5 linked regions of the Callithrix jacchus genome follow. The protein of the gene in region 4 interacts with the protein of the main gene of each other region in a biochemical or structural test. Links are inferred from orthologs where the notes say so. Each region holds a gene or a part of one and is shown on either strand. Other genes may lie near its edges. The genes, in order: TARBP2, CDC42, PRKRA, EIF2AK2 and EIF2A.

The links.
Region 1: the proteins of EIF2AK2 (region 4) and TARBP2 form a complex in vitro, tested with the Homo sapiens proteins (2 studies listed by BioGRID, with this or other methods). The link is inferred for Callithrix jacchus from reciprocal best matches to the Homo sapiens genes EIF2AK2 and TARBP2.
Region 2: the proteins of EIF2AK2 (region 4) and CDC42 form a complex in vitro, tested with the Homo sapiens proteins (2 studies listed by BioGRID and IntAct). The link is inferred for Callithrix jacchus from reciprocal best matches to the Homo sapiens genes EIF2AK2 and CDC42.
Region 3: the proteins of EIF2AK2 (region 4) and PRKRA form a complex in vitro, tested with the Homo sapiens proteins (3 studies listed by BioGRID and IntAct, with this or other methods). The link is inferred for Callithrix jacchus from reciprocal best matches to the Homo sapiens genes EIF2AK2 and PRKRA.
Region 5: of the proteins of EIF2AK2 (region 4) and EIF2A, one has a biochemical effect on the other in vitro, tested with the Homo sapiens proteins (4 studies listed by BioGRID, with this or other methods). The link is inferred for Callithrix jacchus from reciprocal best matches to the Homo sapiens genes EIF2AK2 and EIF2A.

What each region holds. Positions count from the first base shown.
Region 1 is NC_133510.1:66,045,506-66,051,527, forward strand, and holds the start of TARBP2 (RISC-loading complex subunit TARBP2), read right to left. Parts: upstream 3,629-6,022; 5' UTR 3,498-3,628; coding exon 3,445-3,497; intron 3,321-3,444; exon of another isoform or gene 3,198-3,320; intron 2,891-3,197; coding exon 2,721-2,890; intron 1,922-2,720; coding exon 1,819-1,921; intron 1,413-1,818; coding exon 1,321-1,412; intron 1,241-1,320; coding exon of another isoform or gene 1,224-1,240; coding exon 1,145-1,223; intron 554-1,144; coding exon 481-553; intron 247-480; coding exon 129-246; intron 1-128. UniProt on the Homo sapiens protein: Required for formation of the RNA induced silencing complex (RISC). Component of the RISC loading complex (RLC), also known as the micro-RNA (miRNA) loading complex (miRLC), which is composed of DICER1, AGO2 and TARBP2.
Region 2 is NC_133508.1:58,816,328-58,822,370, forward strand, and holds the start of CDC42 (cell division control protein 42 homolog), read left to right. Parts: upstream 1-2,300; 5' UTR 2,301-2,351; intron 2,352-6,043. UniProt on the Homo sapiens protein: Plasma membrane-associated small GTPase which cycles between an active GTP-bound and an inactive GDP-bound state. In active state binds to a variety of effector proteins to regulate cellular responses. Involved in epithelial cell polarization processes.
Region 3 is NC_133507.1:49,633,911-49,640,117, reverse strand, and holds the start of PRKRA (interferon-inducible double-stranded RNA-dependent protein kinase activator A), read left to right. Parts: upstream 1-2,118; coding exon 2,119-2,183; exon of another isoform or gene 2,184-2,221; intron 2,222-2,735; coding exon 2,736-2,905; intron 2,906-6,207. Other genes in the region: PJVK (pejvakin), read right to left, coding at 1,760-2,120. UniProt on the Homo sapiens protein: Activates EIF2AK2/PKR in the absence of double-stranded RNA (dsRNA), leading to phosphorylation of EIF2S1/EFI2-alpha and inhibition of translation and induction of apoptosis.
Region 4 is NC_133515.1:77,866,374-77,871,780, forward strand, and holds part of EIF2AK2 (interferon-induced, double-stranded RNA-activated protein kinase), read left to right. Parts: intron 1-3,980; coding exon 3,981-4,109; intron 4,110-5,407.
Region 5 is NC_133518.1:34,658,573-34,663,979, reverse strand, and holds part of EIF2A (eukaryotic translation initiation factor 2A), read left to right. Parts: intron 1-3,440; coding exon 3,441-3,569; intron 3,570-4,687; coding exon 4,688-4,753; intron 4,754-5,353; coding exon 5,354-5,407. UniProt on the Homo sapiens protein: Functions in the early steps of protein synthesis of a small number of specific mRNAs. Acts by directing the binding of methionyl-tRNAi to 40S ribosomal subunits.

The sequences.
Region 1 (6,022 bases), on a different chromosome or scaffold from region 4:
CTAGAAGGAAGGGGCTGAGCCAGGGACTGTGAAGCAAAGAGAGCAAGGGCTATACCAGAGTGAGGCTAGGAGCTGCTTTGGGGCTGGGGCCAGAGTGCTGCGGGAGAGGAGCTTCGAGAACCCGTTACCAATCTCAATGAAACGCTCCACTCGGCAGGTCATGGTGAATTCTTTCCGGTGGGCTGGCCCCGACTCCTGGGTCACTGTGTACTCCGGCAACCGCCAGCCTTTCTGCACCACCAGCTCCTTGGAAAGGAGACACAGGGTGCATGAGGCTGGGTGAAAAAACGTTTCTCACACCCACGAGGGTCCCCAAGCAGGAGCCTCAGACTCTAGGTGAGAGGAAGGAGAGAGGTAGGTGGAAAGGGCCTCAGTACCGGGAACCGCCCCTGCCCCCGCCCCCAACCACATACCACCTTCCCTCATAGCCCCTGGCTCAAGGGAAGACAGGCATGCACAGGAAATGAGGATAGGGCACACCTGTAGAGCACCGACAGGGTTGCATTCAGACTGCTGAGGGGAGACAGGGGGCTGCATTTCCATGGGGGGGCTCCTGAAGGAAAAAGGGCACAGGGCCAAAGTTGAGCTGAATAGTTCCATCTGAGCCTGCCCATGAGCTTCAAGCCTAACCACTACTTTAGATTCCCGACTACCATCTCCCAATTCCCACCAGGCAGGCAGCTGTCTGTCCACACATCCAGCCTGCTCCTTCCTGCTCTAGCCGGCTTCCTTCCCCCTCCCACTCAAGGAAGGCCTTCTCCAGGCCCCAGCCCATTTCCATTCTGGAACACGGCTATCATCTAAGCCAGAACAGTGGGAGAAGGGCTGTACTTCCAGTCCCAGAAGTGCCTGATGGGTCTCAAACACAGAACTGACATGCAGTCAAACCCAGAAGAAAATGGGGCTGCAAGCCCCTTAAACATGGTGGAACATCATCCATAAGGCTATTTGAAAATCACAAATGACCTCCTGTCCCAAGAGCTTACCAGCAGGTGTGATTTCTTCAAGTTCTGGTTCCCACCTATTCCATTCTGTTTATTCTCAGACTTCCTCATTCCTGACCAGCCTGGGTCCAAGGACTAAGGAGCCAGAAACCAGAATCCCTTCCTCCACCCCCTTCAGGCAATCAGGGGACACAAGATACCTGGTTAGGACAACAGATGGAACTGGGGTAGCAGCTGCTGCAGCAGTAAAAACCGGAACGTCCTCAGGCAGTGAAGAGTCTAGGGGAGAATAAGAACTTCCCGAGGGGAAGGGGGCCTTTGATTCACACCCATGTATAGGGGGAAGAGAGGGGTAGGGGACCCAGGTCTTCCTGACCTGCCCATCCCCTAAGAGAACTTCCAAATTGAGCCAAAGGATCAGGGAGCCTCAACCAACAGCTTCCTTCTGGGATCCTGTGCTGCCAAACACTGGCAAAAAGACCGAGAAAAGAGGGTCTCAGAGAAGAGGGCCTCTTGGTACCCAAGAACCAAGTAGTAACAAACGCCGAGCTGCGTGTGGAAGAAGGACATCTTGCTAGAACAAGGAGGCATGGTGGGAAGCAACTCCCTTTAGTCTCAGTCTCTACCCCTCTCCCTCCCTAACCCAGGCCCCAAACTACTGCCATAACCCCTCTGTGGGGCTAACCAACCCCCCCCCCAAGAATTCTTCATAGCAGCAGAGGCCCTGGAAGACTCTGTTCAGGTCCAGAGGGACTCTCAGGAAGAGGCCAGGTCAGGGTGGCTAAGTGTCACCAGGCCAGGCCTGGGGGCAGAAAGGTGGTGCAGGGCCTGGGTTCCTCGAAGGGCTTCTGGGATGCCTCGGTTCCTCCCTCACCTGCTGTCCTCCAGGGCCGGCTCCAGCATGCTCCCCCCTTTGAGGTGTTTGAGGGCCACCTCAGCTGCCTTGTGCTTGGCTGCCTTCTTGCTGGGGCCCTGACCTGAGAGAGGGGGCATGGGCAATACTGGAGGTCACTGGAAGGACAGGAGAGAAACCAGCATCCCACAGCCTCTCTTCTCACAGCCAGAGGGAATCAATCAAGCCCCCTCTGACCAACCTCCTCCTGCTGAAGACTGGAAGTGTTTCACTAATTGCTGGAAGGAATAGCCCTTATCTTTCCATTAGCTTCCAGAATTAGGCCATGCCAAGCAGGACTTCTGAACTCAAAGCCTTAGGTGGACTGCTGAGCTCAAATGCCTTAATTTCCTTTGCAAAGCACTTTCTTTTCCCTCAATAAATAGCTGGAAAAAGAGAGGGTAGGCTCTGGAGTAAAAGCCCCACGTGACTGTGCACCAGCCATTTATTATCTCAAATACTGTTTCCTCATGTTCAACCTGGGCAGGCGGGGTGGGGGGGATACTGCCACCTACATCACTGGTTAGACTGAAGTTTAAAATTAAATGGGAATTTGGTTAAGCACCTGGAACAGAGCCCAGCACGCCAGGAACTCACTCCCCCAAATATTCCACTGGGATTTCAGTTATCTTCTCTTACTTTTCCTCTAGGGTGATGAGGATCCGCCAGATCACTGTGGCAGTCCTGCTTGCTCCTCTAACTCTCCCACATCCTACCCACCTTCTGACAACCCTGTTCTCCCAATCCAGTCAGTGGCTTTTCCCCTGAAAGCTCTCCTTCCCTCACTGGCCTTGAAGAGGACTGTGAAGACAGAGACTCCAAGAAACAAAGCCATGGGGACCTATGAATGCGCACCCCAGCCAGGCTGCCCAAGCCTTCCTCACCAGTGCAGCTGGTGTCGCCAACGGTGACCCGGAAGGTGAAATTAGGCTGGTGGGCTTGGCCCTCGGCTTTGAGAAGGTCGTACACAGGCGTCTTTCCTATTCTGGTCCCATACTCCTGCAGAAGGCTGATCGGGGTCTTGCCTGGGTTGGCGGCCAGCATTTGCTCTATACTGGGGGAAGGGGCACAGACCGACATCACACCTCCCCTCTCTGCACCCACCTGGCCAAGCACTGCCATATGAGACCTAGGCACATTATGGGGGACATAGGGTCCAGGGGAACCCCAAGCAGTCTAGCATCTATTGACTGGGTTCCAAGTGGAGGTGCAGGCTGGAAAAGTAGGGTCCACTACCCCAAAGCAAGGGGGGAAGAATGCACTGCTTCTGCCTCAGTTAAGGTAGGCACGTTTCTGTGCCCCAGTGCAGGTTGAAAATGCATACCCCCTGACATACTGCAAGCCAGGGACCCAGTACCCACCAAATGCACTGAATGTGGGGGCATAAAGCCCAGTGTTCCAGTGCAGTCTGGGAACCGGGCCAACCCCAAACTATTTAGAGCTGGAGGCAGCAGCCACTGCCCCGGTGCACGCCGGGAACCACTGCCCACTGCCCCAGTGCTTGCCGGGAACAACCCCCAGGCCAGGTGCATGCTGGGGCCCCGCTGCTACCCCCTCCGCACAGCCCCACGCTTTTCGCCCTGAAGGGATCGGTACGGGGCGGCTCACCTAGGCAGCCCGCAGCCTGTGGTAGTGCCGGAGCCTTGCTCCTCTTCACTCATTCCCTCCTCCGTCCCCGCGGGCGCCACTGTGACTGCAGCCTCCACGCGCCCCAATACACCGCAGACGAGCTAGGGCCGGGGCCAAGCCCGGAGTCGCGGCCGGTAGGGCCCGCCGCGGGGCACGCTGGGATATGGAGTCCCCCGCCCACCCTACTTCATGAGCCTCCATCTGGAGGGGAGCTATCCGCCCCACAACCCTCCGCGTGGCTGGCCTGGGCAGGCTGCGCCGCCTTCTGGGAGGGGCGGGCCCTTCGCCGTCGCTTCCCGAGAAGGCCGTATTTTTTTGTTTGTGATATTGTCCCGCCTCCTTCCTTCCGCGCCCCGGGTCTCCCGGGCAGTGAGGCTGTGGACATGCGTACTAGCGGAGTGGAAGCCAGGGGCGGTAAGGACTCACTCGGGCACGGGGCCTTTTGGATTCCAAGAAAACTACAGAACCCAGGAGCCTGCGCGCCATCTTTGTCGCAGCTGGAGGGGCAGGGTCAAGCACGCACGAGAAGCTTAGCGGCGTCATTGGTTACTCCCGTTGCGTTTACTTCCTCTCGGCGCACTGAGATTGGTTATTTCGACTAAACGGGCGGGGACAAGGAAAAGTCAGCCCCCCTGACCACGCCTGCTTGTCAAAGGAAGGTTGTGATTGGTCCGGGGAGGCTGCCTTCGGATCCTGGCTTATTGCGGTCAGGGTGGGTCTTACCCAGACACCGGAGAGGACCGATCTCTGCCTCCACAGGGCGCTGGAGCTGGTGCAGGTCCATGTCCATCTCAGACAGTCCCCTCAACCCTCAGCTTAAGCCCCTGGCTGCTGGGCCTTCGTAACGCAGAACTTGTTTCCTTTTTCTAGGTTGTCCTTCACCTCCCTTCAGGTTTTGCTGCTTTTGTAAGCCTTTTTAGAACGGCTCTAGTGAACCTCCCTTACACTGGCCAGGAAACCTCTGGGTCCTGAAAATCAGGTTATAGTGGGACGATAGGATTAGAAGGACTAGGCACCTGGTGGTCTCGTCCCCTCTGCCGTGAGTCTTGGGTCTTTCAGCTGAAGAGAGCAGGAGTGAATTTTGGCCACCTAAGACTAATCAACTGATCTGGGTGTACACGAGCAGATGCTCATTTCTTAGTCCTAGAGCCCCATTGCCTTCTCCCCGAAAGTCGCACAACCACCGGGCTAAGGGAAATCTTGTGACCTTGGAGAGAGATCACATTAAAAAAAAAGAAAGAAAGAAAGAAAAGGGTTCTAATGAGTCTTCTGAGAACCGGTCAAGAAAGAGATGTCTTACTCTGAGCCGGGGTAGGGTTGGAGATCCAGAGGAATCTTGGAATGATAATCCAGGAACAGTGGAGGAGGATGGGGCCTAGAGCTGAGTGAATTCCAAGTGGGTTAAATTCGAGTGAGCGGTGACAATCAAGGGAAGGAGAGCTGGCAAGATCTGTATGATAGGGGAGCTATGCCAGGGTGCTAGGGATCCCATGTGAGGGGCTGCTCTCTCCGGTGTAGAAAGGAGTCTATAGGACGGGTCATAGAGGGTTCCTGCGAAATCAGCCTAAGGCCCGAGGTGGGACCTCCATAGGGCACCGCCAGTAGGGAGGCATGGGGCCCAGGCGGACCAGGGACGAGCCTGGAGCGCGCCGGATGGCAACAGCAGGCTCCTTTAAGAGGCCGGCGGCTCCATCGCAGCATCCCCCGCTCAGGGCGTGTCCGTCCCGGGGGGCCAGGGGCGGGGGCCCTGGAAGGAGCGGGAGTTCAAGCCGAGCTGGGACGAGGCTAGGGGTCGGGAGGTGGGGGCAGAAAGCTGGGGCTGACACCCGTGCATCCGGACTCCGCACTAGCATCGCCTGTGACAGCGCCCCGGGTCCGGTGGAGGGCAGCGGGGGGAGGAGGGAAGGAGGAGGAGAAGGAGGAGGAGGCGGGAGCAGCATCCGGAGCTGAGCTGCAGCAGCGCCGCCTTTTGTGCTGCGGCCGCGGAGCCCCCGAGGTGAGATCCTGGCCGAGTTGTGGGGGGGTGGGGGGCAGGGATGGGTCCGGGTCTTGGGATCCGGGCGTGAAGGGAGGGTCGGTATGCAGATGTGGCCTGGTGCAGGGTGGTGGCTTGGGGATGCTGAAGCTGTGTAGATGGAGGGACTGGGGACCTGGACCCGACGCCTGTGGGGCTGGGAAGGAAGGGAATGGAGCCGAGGGATGCCGCGGCCCAGCTTAGAGACGAAGGGCCTCCAGAGCTGGAAAGGACCGTATTGGGGTGGTGTGGAGGGTGACTGGGGGACAGACGTAAAGGACAGAGGGCAAGAGAACATCTCCTCCCACTCATCCTCAGGAAGGGAGAGAGGGAAGGAGGAGGGAGAGTTTTGGCCCCCTCCAGGGAAGGAAAGGAAGGGCAAGGACTGATGTACCTACCATCTCCCTCCACACACACACTTAGCAGGCTGGACCTCAAGATTAGTCAGAGAGCACCTGTTCCTGGATCCCAGGCGTTGGTCCCCCTCCCCTTCCAGCTGTGATCCTCCTAATCTCCGCCAGCTGTGGCATTCACCTCCATCCA
Region 2 (6,043 bases), on a different chromosome or scaffold from region 4:
AGGCTGGAGTGCAATGCCATGATTTGGGCTCACTGCAACCTCCGCCTTCTGGGTTCAAGCGATTCTCTTGTCTCAGCCTCCTGAGTAGCTGGGATTACAGGTGCATGCCACCACGCCTGGCTAATTTTTTGTATTTTTTGTAGAAACGAGGTTTCATCATATTAGTCAGGCTGGCAGGCTGGTCTCAAACTCCTGATCTCAGGTGATCCACCTGCTTTGGCATCCCAAAGTGCTGGGATTTGGGATTACAGGTGTGAGCCACTGTGCCCGGACTTTTTTTTTTTTTTTTTTTTTGAGACAGTTTCACTCTTGTTGCCCAGGCTGGAGTGCAATGATGTGATCTTGGCTCATGCAACCTATGCTTCCTACGTTCAAGCAATTCTCCTTTAGCCTCTCAGGTAGGTTGGGATTACAGGTGCCCATCACCACATCCAGCTAATCTTTTTTTTTTTTTTTTAAGTAGAGACAGGGTTTCACTATGTTGGTCAGGATGGTCCCGATACATTTGTCTCTGCCTCCCAAAATGCTGGGATTACAGGTGTGAGCCACTGCACCTGGCCTGAAACCTTATCTTCTGATTTCTTTGTAAGAAACCTGCTTTGTAGCATGATACTGTCATAGTCAGCTAGATCCAACCTCCTGAGTGCAGGTCTCAGCTCTGCCACTGCTTGGCATGGTGGCTTTGGGCAAATCTTAACACCTCTGAGCTTCAGTTCATGCAACCATAAAGTAAGGGTAACAGTTCTTAACTCATAGGGTGGCTGTGGGTATTAAATTAGCTACTCCTACCCGCAAAGCTATTAGCCATACTGGCAGTAAATGCTAAAAGATGTAGTTCTTACTCTTGTGTAATGAAAAATTCCAAAAGAAAGTATGACTTTATATTAAGTCAAATATACTGGAATTAAGTGTCTTTGTTGGCCAAATAGCTGTGGCACTAATCAATAAATGAGCTGTTATTAAGACAAGCTATTTAAGCTATTTTTCTCTAACATAGGGAAACATCTCAAGAATAAGAGACGGAAGTTCTCTACTTTGCTGAAGCTTTCAGACTAGCAGAGAAAACAAATAATAAACAGATACTGCAAAGATAGGATGGTTGGAGAAGGCAGTGATATTTGAGGGTTGAGAGAGACAACCAAAAGTCAGGGGAAGAAGAGGGAGGCAGAGCAAAGAAAGTTCAAGGCCTTGGCTCACACCTTGTAAACCCAGCACTTTGGGAGGCTGAAGCTGGCTGATAACTTGCATCCAGGAGTCCGAGACCGGCCTGGGCAACCCAGCAAAACCGTGTCTCTACAAAAAAATAAAAAATTACCCAGGCACAGTGGTATGTGCCTGTGGTCCCAGCTACTCAGGAGGCAGAGGTGGGAGAATTGCCGGGAGGTCGCGGCTGCAGTGAGCTGAGATCATGCCACTACACTTCAGCCTGGGTGAAAGAGCAAGACTGTCTAAAACAAACAAACAAACAAAAATCAGCGGCTGTAGTTGGGGGAAAGATTGTAAGTCATGTGACCCATGTGGCTACGGCAAGGGACACTGGGGTGTAGGTAGAGTTAAGAAGAGCGGTATTCAGTTCTCACGTCACGTCGGACTGAATACAGGCCAGGGGGAATGAGAGGCTATCCATTCCTCTGATCTGGGGCAAGTCACCAGCCCTTTCAGAGAAGCCTCCTCTGAAAATAGGAGGATAATACCTTGCTTTACAAGGTTGCAGGGATCAAAATAACTGGCAGTGGGCTGGGCGCGGCGGCTCACGCCTGTAATCCTAGCACTCTGGGAGGCTGAGGCAGGTGGATCACTAGCTTGAAGTCAGGAGTTGAGACCAGCCTGGGCAAAATGGCAAAACTCCTTCTCTGCTAAAAATACAAAAATTAGCCTGGCGTGGTGGCAGGTACCAGTGATCTCAGCTACTTGGGAGGCTGAGGTAGGAGGACGCTTGAACCCAAGAGGTAGACGTTGTAGTGAGCTGAAATCGAGCCATTGCACTCCAGCCTGGGCAACAGAGTGAGACTGTGTCTCAGAAAAACAAACAAATAAGAAAGAAGTGGTAGTGGAAGCTCTTTGCAAACTACCATTACCAGTATTATTACAAACACAATCATTGGGAAAAGATGCAGAGTATAGCCCGGAACTCTAGCGGCGCCGACCCACACGTGCTCGACAGGCGGGCGGAGCCAGGGCAGTCCAGGCACCGCCTGGACCCGCCCCAGCCTCTTCCCCTTCCCTGTTCCTCCCACTTCCGCGGGCACCCGACTGTGCGTCTCCTGCGCGCTGACGTCAAGTGCGTGCCCCTGTCCGGCAGCCGAGGAGACCCCGCGCAGTGCTGCCAACGCCCCGGTGGAGAAGCTGAGGTGAGTGCGGGGCCCGAGGGTCCCCGCGGGAGCGGCTCCCCCACCTTCCCGTCCCCGCTGTCCCTGTCCTCTCCCAGTTTTCGGGGACACCTGGTCTGCGAAATCTCGGGACGCCTGGGAGCGCGGGTCGCGGGGAAGTGCCCGGCTCGAGCTGCGTCCTCCGGGCGGGCGGGAGTCCGCGTTCTGTGGGGGACCCGGGGCGGGGGTCGCGGCCGGGGAGGCGGTGGGCGCCCACCCGTGGTGGGGCGCGCGGCCGGGGCTCGGGGCGCGAGCGGGGCCGGGCTGTCACCGGCAGGGGCGGAAGGAAGGGGTCACACCCATCCCGGGCGCCCGGGCTCCCTTCCCCCCAGCCCGGCCCCGCGGGCTCCTGAGGGTGGCAGGGGCCCGGGTGCCGGGGGCCTCGGAGCGACTCGCGGGCGCCTGAGGCGGGCCGGGCGCCGGTCCCCGGTCCCCACAGGCTGGGTTTTGTGCCTTGCGCTCCAGCCCGACTTCCTGCTTCGCCGGGCGCAGCCGCGGACATTTTGCGGCACGGGGGGAGGGGAGCGGCGTTGCGGCCGCAGCGGGGCGGTGTCGGGAGGGCGGCTCGCGGGCTGCCCGCTGCGGTGCCTGTCGGCGCTCCCCTCCGCTCGGGTCGCGTCGTCCGGGCCGGGTGGCGCCGAGCCGCGAGCTGCTCTGTTCCTGCCTGAGGTCGAGTTCCTAGCATTTCCGTCCTCTTCTCCAGCCCGCTCCCTACCGATTCAGCTGAAGCTTCCCTTTCGGGGAGTTACTTAACCACCTCCCGAAACCGTCGTTCTGCTGCTTGCTTAATTCCTCTTACTGGGGGGAAATTTTCTTTGTTCGTTTGTTTTTCCTCCCCTTTAAGTCTTAAGAGAAATGCAGTGTGGAAGATTACGTCATCGCAGTATAAGAAGTGAGACTTAACTCCTACAAGTCAGGGACTTACAAATTGATACCGCATTTTGCAGCTTTAGTCGGTCACCCCTTGGCTTATTCTGCCTGCTTCCCAACGCATCGTAATCAGATGATGTTTTGAAACCTTGTTACTGTGGTCATGGTCGCCTTCAATGCACCTAAAAGCCAGGAAGTAAACCCCAGGATTAGCTTGTGTCAGGGAATAAAGTATAAGACAAGCTGCTTGCGTGGGCATTAACTTTAAATTGAGGTCCCTTTGACTATACTAGAATGAAGTGGTTTTATTTGTGGGAACACTTTTTCGGTCCAACATGACTTTCCCAGACTGTTTGGCTTCTTTATGACTTACTGCATGCCGAGAACCTCCCTAGTTGATTCAAGTGCACTTTTTGTGGTGCAGGTGTGTTGAAAAGAGGATCAGTTTCCGCCTGGTCTGTTAGACATTTTAGTTTTGTTATTAAAAACGAGACTTGGATTTTTAAGCAAAAAACTTAATGTTTTCATACTTTTGAGATCACAATTTTTTTTTTTTTTTTTTTGAGAAAAGGTCTCAAAGACGTTACTAAATACAATGGATATTGCACTTCCAGGCTAGAGTGCAGCCCACCTCAGTCTCCGCCTCTCGTGCTCTAGTGATCCTCCCACCTCAGCCTTTCGAGTAGCTGGTACTATAGGCATGTGCCACCACGCCCGGCTAATTGTGTGTGTGTGTTTTGCCATCTTGCCCAGGCTGGTCTGTAACTCCTAGGGTCAAGCAGAGATCATAATTTTTCTTTCCCTAAGCATTTATATCCTAAATTTTATATCCTTCCGCGATTACAATAGTAACACAGAAAAATGTTAACACTGTAAAGCAAATGAGATCCAATTGTGTAATGCATTGTTGTAAAGATAGTTCATGTCGAAACAAGTGCTTTCCCACTGTTTATCATTTCTATAGAGAGAACAGATTGTTAAACAAAAGGAGTGTTGGTTCAAGGCAGCTTTCTGTAGTGTGTAGGCATTACAGACCATGGGATAGGTGTGGAACTTGGATCTTCTGAAATACATTTGTTAGCCTTGATGTGATATTTTAGGAATATAACATTGGAACGCATCTACTACCTTATTTTCTTGAGCTTGCTATATTTTAGAATTTTAAATAATACCAATTTTTGTCTTTCCTTTTAGAAAATAACCTTGGTTTGGATGTATAGTTTGGATGTATAGTTTTTATACTGAGATGGAGATAAGAGACTGATAATCAACTGAATATTAAATGAGCTTGTTTTCAGTAATTTCTAAAAGACCCAAAAGGTATTACATCCTCTATTTTCCCTTAAAATGTTTTCAGATTACAACCAACACCTGTTCTTATTAAACTTAATTTTTTTGAGATTCTAAGGCAGATGCTATAGCCTAGAGTAGTATGGGGACCTAAATAACAAATTGGTTGAGTTTTTTGTTTTTTTTGTTTTTGTTTTTTTTTTCAAGATAGGGTTTACTCTGTTGTCCAGGCTGGAGTGCAATGGTGTGATCACAGCTCACTGCAACCTCGGCCTTCTAGGCTCAATCCTTTCACCTCAGCCTCTGCAGTAGCTGGGACTACTGCTGCATGCAACCAGGCCTGACTACTTCTTGTATTTTTTTTGTTGAGATAGTGTTTTGTCATATTGCCAGGCTGGTCTGGAATGCCTGTACTCAAGCTATCTGCTCCTGTTGGCCTCTGAAAGTGCTGGGATATAGGCATGAGCTGCTGTGCTGTGGACAGGCTTTCTTGGAAGTAAAAGACAAGTTGTACTTTTATTTATAGATATGTTTTAAATGCACTTCTCTATTTTAGTTTGTCTTTTTTTTTTTGAGAGGATGAGAAACACTTAATGAGCACCTTAGGCTGCAGGGCTTCCTTTGAAGGGGGGGAGAATGGGGTTAAATATTGTGTTAACATATTTTCCCTAAACCCTCTGTATTAAAGGGCTTGTATAACAATGCCTCATTCAGTATTCTCTTCCACATACATTTCTTCATTAGATTGTAAGTTCCATGAGGGCAGGGCATTGACCTGGCATGGTCACCCCATTGCTAATGCCTAGAATACTGTCAAACATATAGTAGGTTTTAAGAAGTATTTTTCAAATGAATGAATTTGGTGATGTCTGAGGGTTAACATTTTCCCTTTCTGCATATTCCATGGGCTTTTGTGCTGTGTTTCCTGAGACAACTTTTGTGCTTGGTCAGCCATATCTTTATTTGGGCTCATTGAAGTAGTGATTACTAATCTACTCTTGCTTGACTTTTTCCATCTGTTTAGTTCAGTATCTTCTGCAGCTGCACTGTCTGGAAAATTTACCATCACTTAGGAACTCTATGATGATTAGTTCTCTTATTCTCCTGAAAATTATTCACTTAATGTTTGTTTCCTTAACTTCCTCTATTTCTTTGTTTGCAAATAACTTATTTTTGCCACTTGTTCACTACCGTATCAGATTCCTGGTCACATTATTCTTTGTGTCTTACTGGTTTCTACTTTTAGTTTCTCATCCCTTCAGTCCAAAAATGTTTTTACTACTTGCCATTTCACCTACCTCTGCTGCTGCTGCTATTTTAAGTCCTGAATGTCAGAGCTCTTCTGGGACATTGGTCTCAAACTGCTTATTCCGTGAAGTGAAACTAGCCTTTTTGCCACCAATGTGGTGTCTCTCCTTGTAATTTTAGAAAAATATTTTTAAAATCAAATATTTGGCGTTAGCCATTATGTTAAAGTCCAGAACAGTTTCTAACAGAGCAGAAAATTGTATTGT
Region 3 (6,207 bases), on a different chromosome or scaffold from region 4:
TGCCTCCACTCATGTGCTCAGGTAATGAATTATAGATCAACGGTGTAAAATGATATGCTAAGAGCACGTTTAATTTGGAATGGCAGGCTATAGCACTAAAATATACAGAGAAAATTAATAACATAAAAATATGACTAAAGTCTATAAGGATCACAGTAAATAGTGATTTGCCACTGCAGTGGACCAATTTTAAGGGAAGCATATAGCCCTGTGGGAAGCAACGCGATTTAGGCACTAACGATAGTCCCGGATACCATCTACAGTGGACCTAGTCCAAAGGGAATCCCTTCACAAGTCCACCACTAGAATTTTGGCAACACAAAAGTGCTGATTTGAATCCTCACGGCATACAGTTCACTGAGCATTTCATTCACCTTCCATCTTACATGTTTATAAAACTATTTAATATTAAATATGAATTCAGACTATAGAGAAACAATTATATGCAGATCTTTATTTTAAAAACAAAGTCACATTACATATAAGTAACTATATAAACTATTACCTAGTGGTTTCTTATTCTGAAGTTTGGCACACAGACTCTGTTTCTTTGAAATGGAGTCCTGCTGTATCTTTTTATTTCACCATTATTATCCCAGTTACTCAACCTTTAACAAGAGCTATTTAAAGTTTTCGCCTGTTTTTAAGTGATTTTGTGACTAAAAATGAATTTTACCCAAGTGCTGAAATGTTTTGCCATAGGTGTTATGCATACGTTAATATATTTTGAAATGGTGACTGCGTAGCCCTTCCAATAAGATACTCATTAAAACAGTGACGGATAGTAATCTCTATTCATACTCTAATTAAAGCATCAAACGATATCATTTGATTAGATCCTGAACATCTTTCACTTGCTTTCAAACATCCAGGGCTCACATGCTAACAAAATAATAAATGACTTCTTTTTTTGAGACAGAGTCTTCCGCTGTTGCCCAGGCTGGAGTGCAGTGGTGCGATCTCCACTCATTGCAACATACGCCTCCCGGGTTTAAGCGATTCTCCTGCCTCAGACTCCCAAGTAACTGGGATTACAGGTGCACACCACCAGTCCCAACTAATTTTTGCACTTTTAGTAGAGACAGGGTTTCACCTGTTGGCCAGGCTGGTCTAGAACAAATGACCTCAAGCGATCCACCCGCCTAGGCCTCCCAAGTGCTGAGATTACAGGTGAGCCACCTCGCCCCGCCATAGATCACTTTTAATAACATCCTTTCGAATGGATAGCTTGTACAAAGCAATCGTCCAGAACAACGAGTAAGCACAGGGGGGCATTTCTGCAAATGTCTAGCAAGCCCCTGGAAAAGAGACACAACATCTAATGGCCCACCAAAGGTGCTGCATCCCAGGCAAACGCCATTACAACACAGGGCCAGAGAAAGGCCTTCGTTTATATGCACTGATCAGCGTTCCATCTCGCAGCGGAAGCCCAGAAGACAAAGGAGCCCGCCTGGCGGGAGAGGAAAGGTCTCTGGACGTCTCCGCGTGTTCCTAAACACAGGGCTCGGGGATCCGGAGAGCCCACCGCAGCCCCCTGGAGCAGATATATCCGGGGTCTCAAGCTTCGGGACCAGGCCCGGGGAGTCTCCTAGCAATTCTGCCTTCGTTATTTTGAAATCGTTTTCTTAAAGTGACCCAGTCCCCAATCCGTCCTTCCCACAAAGGCTTAACTTCAGGCCTCAAACACCCTAGACCCACGCCGGACAATTCCTCTCTCCGGGCAAGGCTTCCTGCTAAGGACAAAGAACTGAGGCCTTACTGCTGGCTGGCCGGCGCCGGCAGGGGCGGACGCAGAGAAGCCCCGGGAGCCTAAAGGCCGGAGCCCAGAGGGGCGGAGCCGGGCGGGGAGGGGACGGACCTTGGAGGGGACGGACCTTGGAGGGGACAGGGGCGGGTCTGGGCCGGGACCGAGGCTCGGAGCTGGACAGCGAGGGGGCGTAGCCGGAGCTACGGCACCAAGGCTCCGCCCCCGCCCCGCCCGCCCCCTCGCCGGAGGAACGCAGGCAGGAGCAGGGGGAGCTAGAGGAGGCGGCGGCGCTAGAACTCCTCCTGGGGACGGGGAGCAAGCACGTTGCTCGGCACCGCTCTTCTCCCGCCGCTGAGCCGTCCTTTCTCGCCATGTCCCAGAGCAGGCACCGCGCCGAGGCCCCGCCGCTGGAGCGCGAGGACAGCGGAACCTTCAGGTCAGCGTGCGGGTAGTCGAGGCCCCAGGGCCGGGAGCGTCGGGAGGCGGGGCCGGGGCGCGGGGAGCCGGCCCTCCAGCTGCATTCTGGGTAAAGCCCCTGCCCGGCAGCCCAACTTCCGAGGCTGCGGGCGCTCGGCCCCGCCCTCTCGGCGGCGCGGTTTGGGGTCCGCGGCCGAGACCCGCCCCTTTCTTGGCCCACGGCGGTGCGCGGGCTTGCGAAGGTGGTGCGCGGTCGCCGCGCCCGGGAAAGGCTTTTACGATTGGTCCTAAGGCTGCGGCGCTGCTGCCAGCCCTGTTCTGTTGAGAATCTCTTACCCGCATTCAAGTTATTTCTCTAAAGACCTCGCTCACCCCGCCTGCCCCAGCGGGGTGACTGCCGCAGCGGGGCCGGAAGACAGGTGCGCCCCAGCCTCGCCAGCTCTGGCCCTGGCCGCCGGGAAACTCCGCGCCTCCAGCGTCATCGTCGGTGGCGGTCAAAACTGGCCTCTGCACGCTTCTGCTTTAATCTCCAATTTGGCATGCAAAGCACACCTTTTTCTGGTTTTTGCAGTTTGGGGAAGATGATAACAGCTAAGCCAGGGAAAACACCGATTCAGGTATTACACGAATACGGCATGAAGACCAAGAACATCCCGGTTTATGAATGTGAAAGATCTGATGTGCAAATACACGTACCCACTTTCACCTTCAGAGTAACCGTTGGTGACATAACCTGCACAGGTCTGTATACACAGTTAACATGGATGACCGAGTGGGTTGGCATTCAAGATTTGGTGTTGCTTTTCAATTCAGAAAAGTGCTCTTTTTACCAGACAGCTCTAAGGAACAGGCTCTGAAACAGACTTCTCATCTCAGGTCGCTAGGACTTCCCATCCTCATCTAATTCTATTCCCAATTAATTTTCTCTTCCCCAGATACCAAAGAAGCTCAGAAACTAAAAAGTTACCCAGCCATCCTGCACAGCTCCTCTCATACCCTAGGATCCTTCTAGGGTTCCTCTAAGAATTAGAGAGAAGCAGGAAAGGTTCGGAGCAGCCATAGCTGGGCCAGTAGGTACTGTGAAGTTTCACAGATTATAGCAGATGCCAGCAGGCATGACCCCAGAATTTTCATTTGTACTTTAGGTCCATTGTACCAGTCTTGATTCTGTATCCAAGCAAAATGAGGAAGGGCAGAAAGAAGATCCTCATATATTATATTGTATAATAACTTCTAGTTTTTGAAACTGAACAGATATTTTGTATATTATCCACTTTTACACAAGAAGATACAGGTTCAGAGTGATTTTAAGTAACATGCCTATAGCAATGAAGTCACATAGCAATGAAGTTTCAAAGTTCATGCCTTCTTTTGGTCTGTGAGCTTGAGCAAATAACTGAAGTTGCTCATTTGTAAATGTGGACATTATTTTTCTTACGTATCTATTTAATTGCAAACACAAAACACTGGATGCTAAATTTAATTTGGAAGAATGCCAAAAAAAAAATTTAGTCGGAAGGCTCAAGTTCTACCATCTGGTAAATCTGAAGGCAGCATTTGTTTGTGTCCCTGGAAGTTTAGAGTCCTTTATTTTAATTGATGCCACTTTAAGAAAAGTTTAAAACTTTTTGTGTGAGGCAGTTACATTGTAGGTGCTGGCCGGAAGGGTCCCTATGGGAACCAGAGTCAACACTGCATTACTTCTTTAGCTAGTCTATTTCTGGATAAACGGGAAGAATTCAAGAAAAAGGAGGCTTTTTTCCCCTCAATGTGTTTTAGACCCCAGACTGACAGCCTATGGCAACTGTTTTGCTTATGCCCTCTTCTCACACTACCATGGCTTCCTGGGCAAGCTTATCTGCCTCCATTGCTTCCAATACTATCCAAAGGCTGATAATTCTGAAATATCTATCTTCATCCCAAGCCCAGTTACAGAACAGTGTATCTGTCTATGCTTGTCGAGCATCTTTGCTTGGATTACACAGAAGCCCCTCAAGCCTCTCATTGTCCCAAACTGAATTCATCTTTTCCCTCAAACCCATTCTCCCTGCATTTCCTTTCTCTGTAAAGTCTCCATAATCAACTAGTTCAGTAGAAATGTGGGTTTGTCTTCCTAACTACGTCCCATCTCTCTTTCTGTTGTCCAGTCTGTCATTAAACTCCATCTCCTAAATATCCATTGCATCTATCTGCTTCTCTCTTCTGGCCATTGCTACTGCCTAGGCCACTGTCATCTCTCACTTGGATTGTAGCTGCAGTCCTATAGCTGTACATTTATCTTCTAGTCTCGTGATGTCCTTTTGTCACATGAGAACCAGTATTCTTTTTTTTTTTTGAGACAAGTTGGTCTTGCTTTTTTTTTTCGAGACAAGGTCTTGCTCTGTCACCCAGGCTGGAGTACAGTGGCGTGAGCATAGCTCACTGCAGCCTCAGTGTCCTGGACTAGAGCAATCCTCCTGCCTCAGCCTCCTGAGTAGCTGGGACTACAGGTGCACATCACCATGCCCAGCTAATGTTTCTGATTTTTAGTAGAGACAAGGTCTCACTGCATTGCCAGGCTGGTCTTGAACTTTTGGCATCAAGCAATCTTCCCACCTCAGCCTCTATTAGTGTTGGGATTACAGGTGTGAGCCACCTCATCCAGCCCTAACAACCAGTGTACTTTCTAGCATTCAGATGTCTTCCTCATCTCAAAATCCATTCAGTGGTTTCCCCATAACCCTCTGGATAAATACATGTTGTTTGTTTGATTATTTGTTTGTTTGTTTCTCAGACAGAGTTTCACTTTTACACCCAGGCTGGAAAGAAGTGGCACAATCGTGGCTCACTGCAACCTGCATCTCCCGGGTTCAAGCGATTCTCCTACCTCAGCCTCCCGAGTAGCTGGGATTACAGGCGTGTGCCACCTTGCCTGGCTGATTTTTGTGTTTTTAGTAGAGATGGGGTTTTGCCATGTTGGCCAGGCTGGTCTCTAATTCTTGACCTCAGGCATTCCACCCACCTCGACCTCCCAAGGTGCTAGGATTACAGGTGTGAGCCACCGTGCCTGGCCTATTGCACATTTCTTAACATGACTTACAGCGTTGCTTCTTACACTTTAAAAAAGCTCTTACACTTTAGCCAAAGCCAACTAGTTGGGATTCTTGAGAACACTGTACTGTATGTTGCCTTTGAGCCTTTGCAGGTGCCCTTTCTCTACCTAGAATGCTCTTTCTAATACCCCATCTCTCTTCTCTTTATTAGCTGTTACTCATCATTTAGGTTTCCATTTAGTTATCTCTTTCTTCATGAAACCTTTCTGAATCCTGACCAAGAGTAAAAGAGCTGCTGCTTTTATGTACTCTGCTACAGCCTGCACTTAGGCTTGTTGTAAAATATCCCGTTCCATATTTCAGGTGCCTATTAACAGACAAAAATTACACACTAGGCTGTTAGCTCTTGAGGGCAGGGATACTGTCCCTAATACCTGTTAGCAGATAAATGTGTGGTTTGTGTATCTTCTCACATTTGAGGGCCATACTTGAAACTTATTCCATGAGGGTTTGAGAGTTTGAACTCAAAAGGAAAAAGATTGAATTTATGAATTTATCATTTGCCGTCGTGGTTGCTTACTGAAATTAGACCCCAGTCTTATCCCTAGTCTCAACATAACCACCCAAGCAGAAGATACAGATTGTCCAGAAGATACATAACAAGCTGTCACCTTATTTCATAAAACTCTTTCCTGTTGTACCCAACACATAATCGCAACGGCTCAGCCTAGCAGAGCAGTTTGATACGTTATAGGACAGACTGTCAGAATAAAATTATGCACACTTTGCTATCCAACAATTCGGCTGTAAATGGTTCCTTTAAAATAAACTTCTTGCTGCAGAAGAATTTCCCCTCCAGGAATACAGAAAAAATAAAATACCGAGTTGCATTTCTTCAGAGTTGTGGCACAATCTACTTTATTACCATGTTATGTAATAAACATATATAATGTAAAAATAAGGATTTTTATGTAGGTATGCATAGAATTAAATACATAGAACTTTAAAAAT
Region 4 (5,407 bases):
TGATTTGCAAATAAATGCAGAAGTGTAGGCATCAAGTTCCTAATCTTCAGAATGAATTAGCAAAATTCTGACTGGTGCCTATCCACTTATTTACCAATTGTACCCCGCACTGTGTACTCTGTGTCATAGACTGGTCTTTCCTTGCATCTATTTGCAGAGAATTTTTGCTCTGGCTACGGTTGCTCAAGGGTCAGACTTAATTATTTTTAAATTAAAACAAATTTTTTGAGACAAGATCTTGCTCTTTTGCCCAGGCTAGAGTGCAGTGGTATGATCATGGTTCATTACGGCCTTGATCTCCTGGGCTCAAGCAGTCCCCCGACCTTAGCCTCCTGAATAGCTAGGACCACAGGTGTACACCAGCACACCTGGGTAATTTTTTGGTTTTTTGTAGAGACAGGGTCTAACCATGTTGCCGAGGCTGGTCTCAAACTCCTAGACTCAAAACAATCCTCCTACCTCAGCCTCCCACAGTGCTGGCATTCCAGGTGTGTTCCACTCCACTTGGCCTCAAGCTTTGATAGTGAGACTTCTTTCATCTTCTGTCACTTTTCTAGCTCTCACTACTACAGCTGTTGATTTCTCTCTTCTAAGAAAAGATTCAGTGAAGGTGTACACTTTTGGGGTTATGCTTTGCAAAATAGCAGGTGTAGGTGGTTTTGCCAGAGAATGGTCTTTACCCAATCCAGTCCCTCTTATAAAAGTCTCCAAATGTTTACCACTTTCTGTTGGAATCTTAGAAACTAGACCAAAGGTGCTGGGAGGGGACATAGGGGTTTCTGGAGTGAGGGCGTTTGTCCGAGGCTGCTTCTCTCTAAAATGTTCAGTCTCCTAAAGCCCCGGCTCTTTGGCTGTCCTTGGCCTGAGCATCAGCCCTGTTCCTGTGCCTCCTATGTGAAGTTTCACGCCTTTTTTATGCTCTACGACCCTATATTTTATCTAGTCATACTATAGCTGATTAGACAAAATGTGGCATTATTGTTTTTATTTCTTTTTTTTTTTTTTTTTTTTGAGACAAGTTCTCACTCTACTGTCCAGGCTGGAATGCAGTGGCATGATCTCAGCTCACTGCAGCCTCAACCTCCTGGGCTCAAGTGATCCTCCCACCTCAGCCCCCAAAGTAACTGGGACTGTAGGCACAGGCCACCAAGCCAGGCCAATTTTTGATATTTTGTAGAGACAGTACTTCACCATGTTGCCCAGGCTGGTCTCAAACACCTGAGCTCAAGTGATCTTCCAACCTTGGCCTTCCAAAGTTTGGGATTACAGGCATGAGCTTCTGTGTCCAGCCTCTTATTCTTTTATTTTCTTTCTTTCTTCCTTTCCTTCTTTCTTTCTTTCTTTCTTTCTTTCTTTCTTTCTTTCTTTCTTTCTTTCTTTCTTTCTTTTCTTTCTTTTCTTTCTTTCTTTCTTTCTTTTCTTTTCTTTTTTTTTTTTTTTTCATGAGACACAGTCTCACTCTGTCGCCCAGGCTGGAGTGCAGTGGAGCAATCTCGACTCACTGCAACCTCTGTCTCTTGAGTTCAAGCAATTCTCCTGCCTCAGCCTCCTGAGTAGCTGGGACTACAGGCACCTGCCACCATGCCCAGCTAATTTTTTGTATTTTTGGTAGAGACCATGTTGGCAAGGTTGGTCTTGAACTCCTGGGCTCAGTCTGCCCACTTCAGCCTCCCAAAGAGCTGGGATTACCATGCCTGGCCCACTTTTTCCTTTTAACAAACTATAAAAAGTGATCTGATATTTTTACTACAGAGTCTCATCCAGCTTGGATATTTACAGTTTCTTAGAGTCAGGCGAGATAGCCTTATATGGGACCAGCAGTTTCACTTGCAATCCCAACATATTCCTACCTGTAACTTGAGCATAGCATAGGAATCTTTTCTCTCCACATCCACCCCACGTCTGTCTTCAGTCTTCCGTCTGTATTATTAGTGTTAGGCTCCAATCTGTTAATTGAATTCTACCCATTTTTATTAATACCCATTTTTAGAATGAAGCAATATTCCTGTTCTCTCTCCCTCTTTTTCTTCCTCTTTCTTCCTCTCCTTCTCTCCTTTTTTTACTTTTCAACATCCTAGTTCCTCACCTCTACTCAATACATTCCTCTGAACACCTGATTCCTTGTGATTCTCTGAAACCTCCAATCCATAAAAGAAAAAAAAAATGAATTCTAATCCAACTGCTAATTTCTGCATGGCCGTCATCTCAGGCTGGCTTCTTGGAAGCTCCTCCTTCAGCCTTTCCTGGGCCAATAGTCTCTTCCCTCTCAGGTTCTTTACTAGGTAGGCCCTCTCATAAGTGTGTTATCCCACAGTCTGTTTGTATATAGCCTAAGATTGTACTAAAAGTCCAGCCTTTTCAAAAATGGCAAAATACTAGTTTTCTCATCAACTACGTTTCTGTTTTTATGGTCTTTAGAATGTTGGTCACTATGGCTTCAGCTTGGTGGCCTGTGGTCCCAGCTACTTGGGAGGCTTTGGTGGGAGGATCACTTGAGCTGAAAAGGTCAAGGCTTCAGTGAGCCATGATCACACCACTACAATCCATCCTAGACAACAAAATGATACCCCATCTCAAAAACAAACAAACAGAATATTAGTCAATACCTCCTATGGGCTGGGCATGGTGGCTCATGCTTGTAATCCCAGCACTTTGGGAGGCCAAGGCAAGCAGATCACTTGAGGTCAGGAGTTTGAGACCAGCCTGACCAACATGGCAAAAACCCGTCTCTATTAAAAATACAAAAAGATTAGCCAGGTGTCGTGGCACACACCTGTAATCCCCCAGCTCCTTAGGAGGCTGAGGCAGGAGAATTGCTTGAACCCAGGAAGCAGAGGTTCTGGTGAGCCAAGATCACACCACTGCACTCCAGCCTGGGCGACAGAGCAAGACTCCGTCTCACAAAACAAAACAAACAAACAAAACACCTCCTATAAAGCTATGGAGTCAGAATGACCACTTCTATTCAGTTCTTCCTTTTTTTTAAAAAAAAAAAATCTGCTTAAAGAATTGCATGGATAAAAAATATTTCAGAGCTAGTTATCATCTTCCAATTAACTTGGTATCCTTTCAAGGTGGAAGGGATATGTTTAAGAAGTTGTCAGAGGCTTGGAGAAATTGACATAAAAAAGACCCCCAAGAGGCCAGGCATGATGGCTCACGCCTGTAATCCCAGCACTTTGGGAGGCCGAGGTGGGTGGATCACCTGAGGTCGGGAATTCGAGACCAGCCTAACCAACATGGAGAGAAATCCTGTCTCTACTAAAAATACAAAAGAATTAGCCAGGCATGGTGGTGCATGCCTGTAATCCCAGCTACTTGGAAGGCTGAGGCAAGAGAATCGCTTGAACCTGGGAGGCAGAGGTTGCGGTGGGTGAGCCGAGAACGCGCCATTGCACTCCAGCCTGGGCAACAAGAGCGAAACTCCGTCGCAAAAAAAAAAAAAAAGACCCCCAGGAGAAATTCTGCACAGGCTAATCAGCATTATTGTTGGGAAGGATCCATTTAGAGAATCTCAAGGTTGGAAGGGATCTTAAGGAGGTCCCTATCAGATAATGGACTCTTATTTACAACATTTCCTCAACTGGTTGTTCAGCCCTATCTTGGGATGGAGAACTAACTCCCATTCTTTGGACAACACTATTAGGATATTAGGATATTTTAAAGCAAATCTTTTGGTCATTTCCACCCTGTAGTCCTGGATCTGTTCCCTTGGACCGTGCAGAGTGGATCCACTTGGCATGTTACTGCTTTCCAGAGGGATAGCTGTGCCCCAAGCCACCTTTTCTGTGAGCTAAGAAATCCTCACTTCTTTCAGCTGGCATTTTAAAGACCAGTGATATTAAATTCCCTGATTTTGGCTCCCTGTGTAACGGTAAAGCTCTTATAAGTAATATAAAATGGCCATTGCTGTGTATGATTAAGACATGTGGTAATAGTATGTGAAGTCAGTACATGTAAGTTCAATTTTTTTTTCATAGCCAAGTAATATATTCTTAGTAGATACAAAACAAATAAAGATTGGAGACTTTGGACTTGTAACATCCTTGAAAAACGATGAAAAGCGAACAAGGAATACAGGAACTCTGCGATACATGAGCCCAGAACAGGTAAGGTTTCTTTCCTGTCTCTCTATATTTTACTTCTTTTATTTTTAAAATTATAAAAAGAGTAGACACTTCTTATACAATTAAAACAGTATAGAATTATATAGAATAAGAATCGAACATTCCCCTTAACATTCTTCTCCACCTGCATTCTTCTCATCAGTTTGTTCTTTTAGATAATTTTCTGTGAGTTATAAAAACATGCAAACCCAAATATACACCCAGACTTTTTTTTTACATAAACATATATGTGCATACATTTTTCAAGGACTTGATTATTTTTTTGTTTTGTGACTATATAGCATAATCTCTCCATATTAGTTCAACAAGAGCTGCCACATTCTTTTTTTTAACTATATTGTATTTCAAAATGTAGAGCTACCATTATTTAACTATTTTATCTTTATGTTTTATTTATTTAATCTTTAATTTTTTTATTTATTTAATCTTTTTCTGTTGTTGTTCTTACTTAATTTATTTTTTTATTTTTTTGAGACAGAGTCTCGCTCTGTCACCCAGGCTGGAGTGAAGAGGCTCATTGCAACCTCTGCTTCCCAGGTTCAAGGGATTCTCCTGCCTCAGCCTCCCAAATAGCTGGAATTACAGGCACCCACCACCATGCCTGGCTAATTTTTACATTTTTAGTAGAGACAGGGTTACACTATGTTGACCAGGCTGCTTATTTTGTTTTAGAGACAGGTTTTTCTGTTTCACCCAGGCTAGAGTGCAGTGGTGTGATCATTGCTCCCTGCAGTCTCAAAATCTTGGGTTCAAGCAGTCTTCCCACCTCAGACTCCTGAGTAGCTAGGACTAGAGGCACATACCACCATGCCCAGCTAATTATTTTTATTTTTATTATTTATTTTTATTTTTGTAGAGATGAGGTATCACTATGTTGCCCAAGTTGTATTTAACTATTTTCTTATTGAAGGGTATTTATTTAGGTTGTTTACAACTTTGTACACCTATCGACCTTCCTCATTATTTTGGGGCCCAAGAACAAATAATTCTATGATAATCTATGATTGATATCTTGAGGTGAAATGATTGAATAGGCTGACAAGTGCATTTCAAACTTAATTGCTGTTTAATTGTCATTCCCAAAGAAAGTGATTCTAATAATACTCTCCCCTCAAAATGTATGAGAATGCTGCGTCATCATACTCTCAATCAAACAAGGGTATGATCAGTGGTCACTTTTGGACCATGTGTTGAATTAGGAATATCTTGTTATTTTAGTTTGTATTTTCCAGATTTTTAGTAAGGTATGCCCTTTTTTCATATATTTACTTATCCATTTT
Region 5 (5,407 bases), on a different chromosome or scaffold from region 4:
TTGTATTGTATTCACCATTTTTATGAGGATGTGAGATGGTACAATGCCTGTGTGGTGAGATGAATGACCATGGCTGTAACCTGCAGATTGAGCTGCAACTGTGAAACTAGCACTAACTTCTTTTTTCTTCTTCCCAAGTTCATGGATAGGTTTATTCTTACTGTAGATCTTAGCAAATCAATGTACAATATTTTTTATTTCGTATTAAGAACTTTCATCTTTTCACTTAATGGAAATACTTTACGGCTTCTCTTTGGTACATCCAAATTGCCAGCATCACTACTCTGTGCTTTGGGGACATTATTAAGTAAAATAAGTGTTTCTTGAACACAAGCACTGTTGAAACTATGATAGTCAATCTGATAACCAAGACGGCTACTAGTGAAAAATAGGTGGGGACTGAATACACTGTGGATACGCTGGATAAAAGAATGATTCTCGAGACAAAGTCTGGTCGCTCACGGAGCAGAAGATCCCCCAGTGGTGGAAACACACGGGTCGCCAGCGCGACTCTCGTGGTCGGCGCAGCGGTTCCGCCGAGGTCCGGCGCGGCAGCTCTCGGAGCAGAGTAAACAGACCGCTTCCCCTTCTGACTGAGGTTTGGAGCCCCGGGAAGGCAGAGTCGCCTACTACGGAAACAAGAAGGAAGCCCGACAGGAGAATCCTGGGCAGAAAATCACCATCAGTTTTAACGCCGCTGCTCTGGCCCTGGGAACTAACAACCTGGACGTCCACTCAAGAGACCTAATCTGAAAGTTGGTAATTTCAAAGATGAGAGGAGGATAAATTTACAATGACGGGAAGAAACCAGCGTAAAAAAGCTGAGAATACTCAAAGTCAGAACGCCTCTCCCTCTAAAGATGATCACAGTTCCACATCAACAATGGAACAAGGCTTGATGGAGAACGAGCGCCTCCTGATGACAGAATCACTCTTCAAGGAATGGATAATAACAAACTTCGGTGAGTTAAAAGAACATGTTGTAGCCCAATGTAAAGAAACTAGGAACTTTGAAAATAGGTTTGATGAAATCCTATTGAGAATAGACAACTTAGAGAGGAGTATGAGTGAATTAATGGAACTGAAGAATACAATACAGGAACTCCGAGAAGTATGCACAGGTTTAAACACTCGAATTGTTCAAGCAGAAGAAGGGATATCAGAGGTCAAAGTCCAACTTAATGAAATAAAACGTGAAGAAAAGATTAGAGAAAAAAGGATAAAAAGGAATGAGCAAAGTCTCCAAGAAATGTGGGACTATGTGAAAAGACCAAATTTACGTTTGATAGGTGTACCTGAATGCGACGGAGAGAATGAATCCAAGCTGGAAAATACCCTTCAGGATATTATTCAGGAAAATTTTCCTAAACTAGCAAAGCAGGTCAACATTCAACCCCAGGTAATACAGAGAACACCACAAAGATATTCCTCAAGAAGACCAACCCCAAGGCACATAATCGTTAGATTCACCAGGGTTGAAACGAAGGAGAGGATACTAAGGGCAGCCAGAAAGGTTGGATAACCCACAAAGGCAAGCCTGTCAGACTTACAGCAGATCTCTCAGCAGAAACTCTACAGGCCAGAAGAGAGTGGGGGCCAGTATTCAACATCCTCAAAGAACAGAACCTTCAGCCCAGAATTTCATATCCAGCCAAACTAAGCTTCACAACTGAAGGAAAAATAAAATCTTTTATGAACAAGCAAGAACTCAGAGATTTTATTACCACCAGGCCTGCTTTACAAGAGCTTCTGAAAGAAGCATTACACACAGAAAGAAACAACCAGTATTAGCCTTTCTAAAAATACACCAAAAAGTAAAGAGCACCAACATAAAGAAGAATTTACACCAACAAATGGATAAAACAGCCAGTCAACATCAAATGGCAGTAACCCTAAATTTAAATTGACTAAATTCCCAATCAAAAGACACAGCCAAAACCCAACGGCATGTTACATCCAGACCTGTTTCACATGCAAGGATACACAAAGACTCAAAGGGATGGAGAAAGATTTACCAACCAAATGGAGAGCAAAAATAAATAATAAATAAATAAAAAGCAGGAGTTGCAATTCTTGTATCGGATAAAATAGATTTTAAAGCAACAAAGATATAGTGGTAAAAGGATCAATGCAACAAGAGCTAACGATCCTAACACCCAGATAGGAGACTTAGATTCAATGAGACAGAAAATTAATAAGGATATCAAGGACTCGAACTCAGATCCAGAACAAGTAAACTTAATAAATATTTATAGAGCTCTCCACTTCAAGTACACAAAATATACATTCTTGTCAATACCACATCACACCTACCCATTAGTTTAAATAAAACATTGATTGGCCATTATTAATACCCAATTTTTTTCAAAATAAAGCAATATTTCCATTTACTCTCCCTCTTTCTCTTCCTCTTTCTTCCTCTCCTTTACTTATTTTTTTTTTTCTTTCCGTCCCTCAAAAGAAAAGAAATCAACTTGTAAACCTCTAGATCCAGGTCGGCAATGTCTCTTTCATTGCTTGATTTCCTTTCTTCCCTTCCCTCCCTCCCTCCCTCCCTCCCCGCTTCCTCCCTTCCTTCCTTCCTTCATCCCTTCCTTCCTCCCTACCGTCCTTCTTCCCTTCCTTCCTGCCTTCCTCCCCCCCCAAAAAAAAAAAAAAAAAAAAGAATGATTCTCACCCTTGGCAGGATGCTGAGAGATTTCATCACACAGCTTAAAACTTATGAATTGTATATTTCTGGCATTTTCCATGTAATATTTTTGGGCTGCAGTTAACCCTCGGTTACTGAAACCATAGAAAATGAAAGCGTGGTTAAGGGAGACTTCTGTACACAAAGGCCAAGGGCAAAAGTATACAGCACCTTAGCGAAAATAAAAGTGATTCAGAATCGGGGTCCTTCAGTGAGGAAGGACAAGAAAAGTTATCAGAGGTCTGATCATATTGGAAGCAACATAGCATCCCTTTAAGGGGAAAAAAGTTTTGTGGTTCTTTGTTGCATAATTGAATTGATCTGATTATAAATTAGTATCTGTAGGATTCTTATTCTTGTAGCATAATCCATTACATATACTTAATCATACATATTCTTCATAGTTTTGGAGAGAGCCTTGTGAGAGTGAAACTTTAAACACATTAAATAGAAAAGCCCTCTCATGTGTTCAAACCATCCATCTATCCATCTACTGGCACATCTCAGAATATCCAAAAGTTTGGAATGCTTGTTGGCTGTACAGAAACCTCCTAGTTTACTCTGATAAGGTCATTTTATTTCTAATATGGGAGTATGTAGCATACTTCATGAGACCTTTAATTCAGATTCTTTATATAAAATGTAGGTAAAATCACATAGTTTCTATATTTTATAGACCAAAGCTGTGATGGCTTAAATACTGTAACGTTTTTGGTTTTTAAAATTGAATTTTAAAAAATATTTCCTGTAGGAAGCAAGAAGTGACAAGAGTCCAGATTTGACACCTACTCCTGCCCCACAGAGCACGCCACGAAGCACTATCTCTCAGTCAATTTCTGGGGATCCTGAGATAGACAAAAAAATCAAGAACCTAAAGAAGGTGAGAAACTTAGATGAAAAACAGATGTGCAAATTGCAAGGCATAAATTAAAATTACATAAATAAGGTAGTACTTAGATGCCTAAAGACAGGAGCTAAGAAGTTTATATTAGCAGTTCTCATTGTTGCTTTCTCACTATAAAGTACTGTCACTTAGTAATGGTACCGATTTTAGTTTTGTCACAAATGTCTGAAGGCTCTTAGTAATTTACTGATTTTTGGAGTAATAAAAATCAGTATGCATTAGCAGAGAAATATACTGAAAACTTTTTTTTTCTTCTGAGATGGAGTCTCGCTCTGTCACCCAAGCTGGAGTTCAGTGGCACAACCTTGGCTCACTCCAACTTCCGCCTCCCAGGTTTAAGTGATTCTCCTGCCTCAGCCTCCTGAGTAGTTGGGACTACAGGCGTGTGTCACCACGCGTGGCTAATTTTTGTATTTTTAGTAGAGACAGGGTTTTACCATGTTGGCCCGGCTGGTCTCTAACTCCCGACCTCAGGTATCTACCTGCCTCAGCCTCCCAAAGTGCTGGGATTACAGGCATAATCAGTATTTCATTAGATACCTGTGAGATAAGTAGGACCAGATATTTATCCTAGTTTTGAAGATGAAGAGACGGAGACAAAAAGAGAAATGTATTGACTTGTGATATTGCAGCCCGTGTGCTGGGGTGGCCCTGGGGATAAAACAAGGTCTCTAGAGCCCTACACAGCTGCATTATGAGATTTCTCTTTCATTCATTTTTTTATTGGGTAGGACTTTGGACCAAAAATCTTTCAGAATGCTCTCACTAAGATTTCTCTCAAAGCCAGAAACATCACCCGTTCCAGTGGGGCATTGAAATGTGCCATTACTGATACATTTACATATACATATACATATATGAGAACATTAATTAAAAGCCTGAGAAAAATATTTTGCCAAATCTCATGTTTTTAACACTTACAATTTTGCATTTAACTTTAACTTTAAAAAATAGTTTTATCGTAGCATTTTAACAGACCATTTTTTATACAAATGTAAGATAATTAATCTCCTTATTTGAGTTTCACATTCTTAATAAGGAAATTTGCATCTGAAGTGACTTCCTTCCTCTTGACTCATATTTGATATTTGCAGAAACTGAAAGCAATTGAACAACTGAAAGAACAAGCAGCAACTGGAAAACAGCTAGAAAAAAATCAGGTACTTTCTGCATTTTCCATTTAGGCTTGTGACCACCACCCTTCCCCCATTTATTATAAACAAATATCTAGTCACGTAAATGAGCACATAGATTTTGAAAACTTACTTTGAAAACCATATGCCATATTCTATTTAATGTTTTTATTTTTAAATAGCTTTACTCTTAAACTTAAATAGAGGAGATATGGTATTGATCATGGGAATAAAAGAGTCCATGTTCTTAAGAGGCGTACTACGCTGTTACTGATGAAAATAATAGCAATTTGTTATATTAGACAAATAGAAGATTCTCTTCCTTTCCATATCTCAAGTTGTACTGCCCTGTTTACCTTTTCCCTACTCCTTTCCTCAACATTTTTAAACCCAAATATAGTATTGAAAATTTATTGGGCACAGAGGGATGCAATAAGACAGTGTCTGTTCTTTTTTACCCTTGATTCATACCAGATAACAAATTAGAATTTGTGTCTAACCAGCATTTTAAAATGTGTGTTTACTAGTGAACATGATAAATTGTCAGAAATATCCTATATCTGTATTATTTTTATTACATATCCAGTACTTGTTTCATAATAACTTCATTGTTTTAAATTTTTGTAGTTGGAGAAAATTCAAAAAGAAACAGCCCTTCTCCAGGAGCTGGAAGATTTGGAA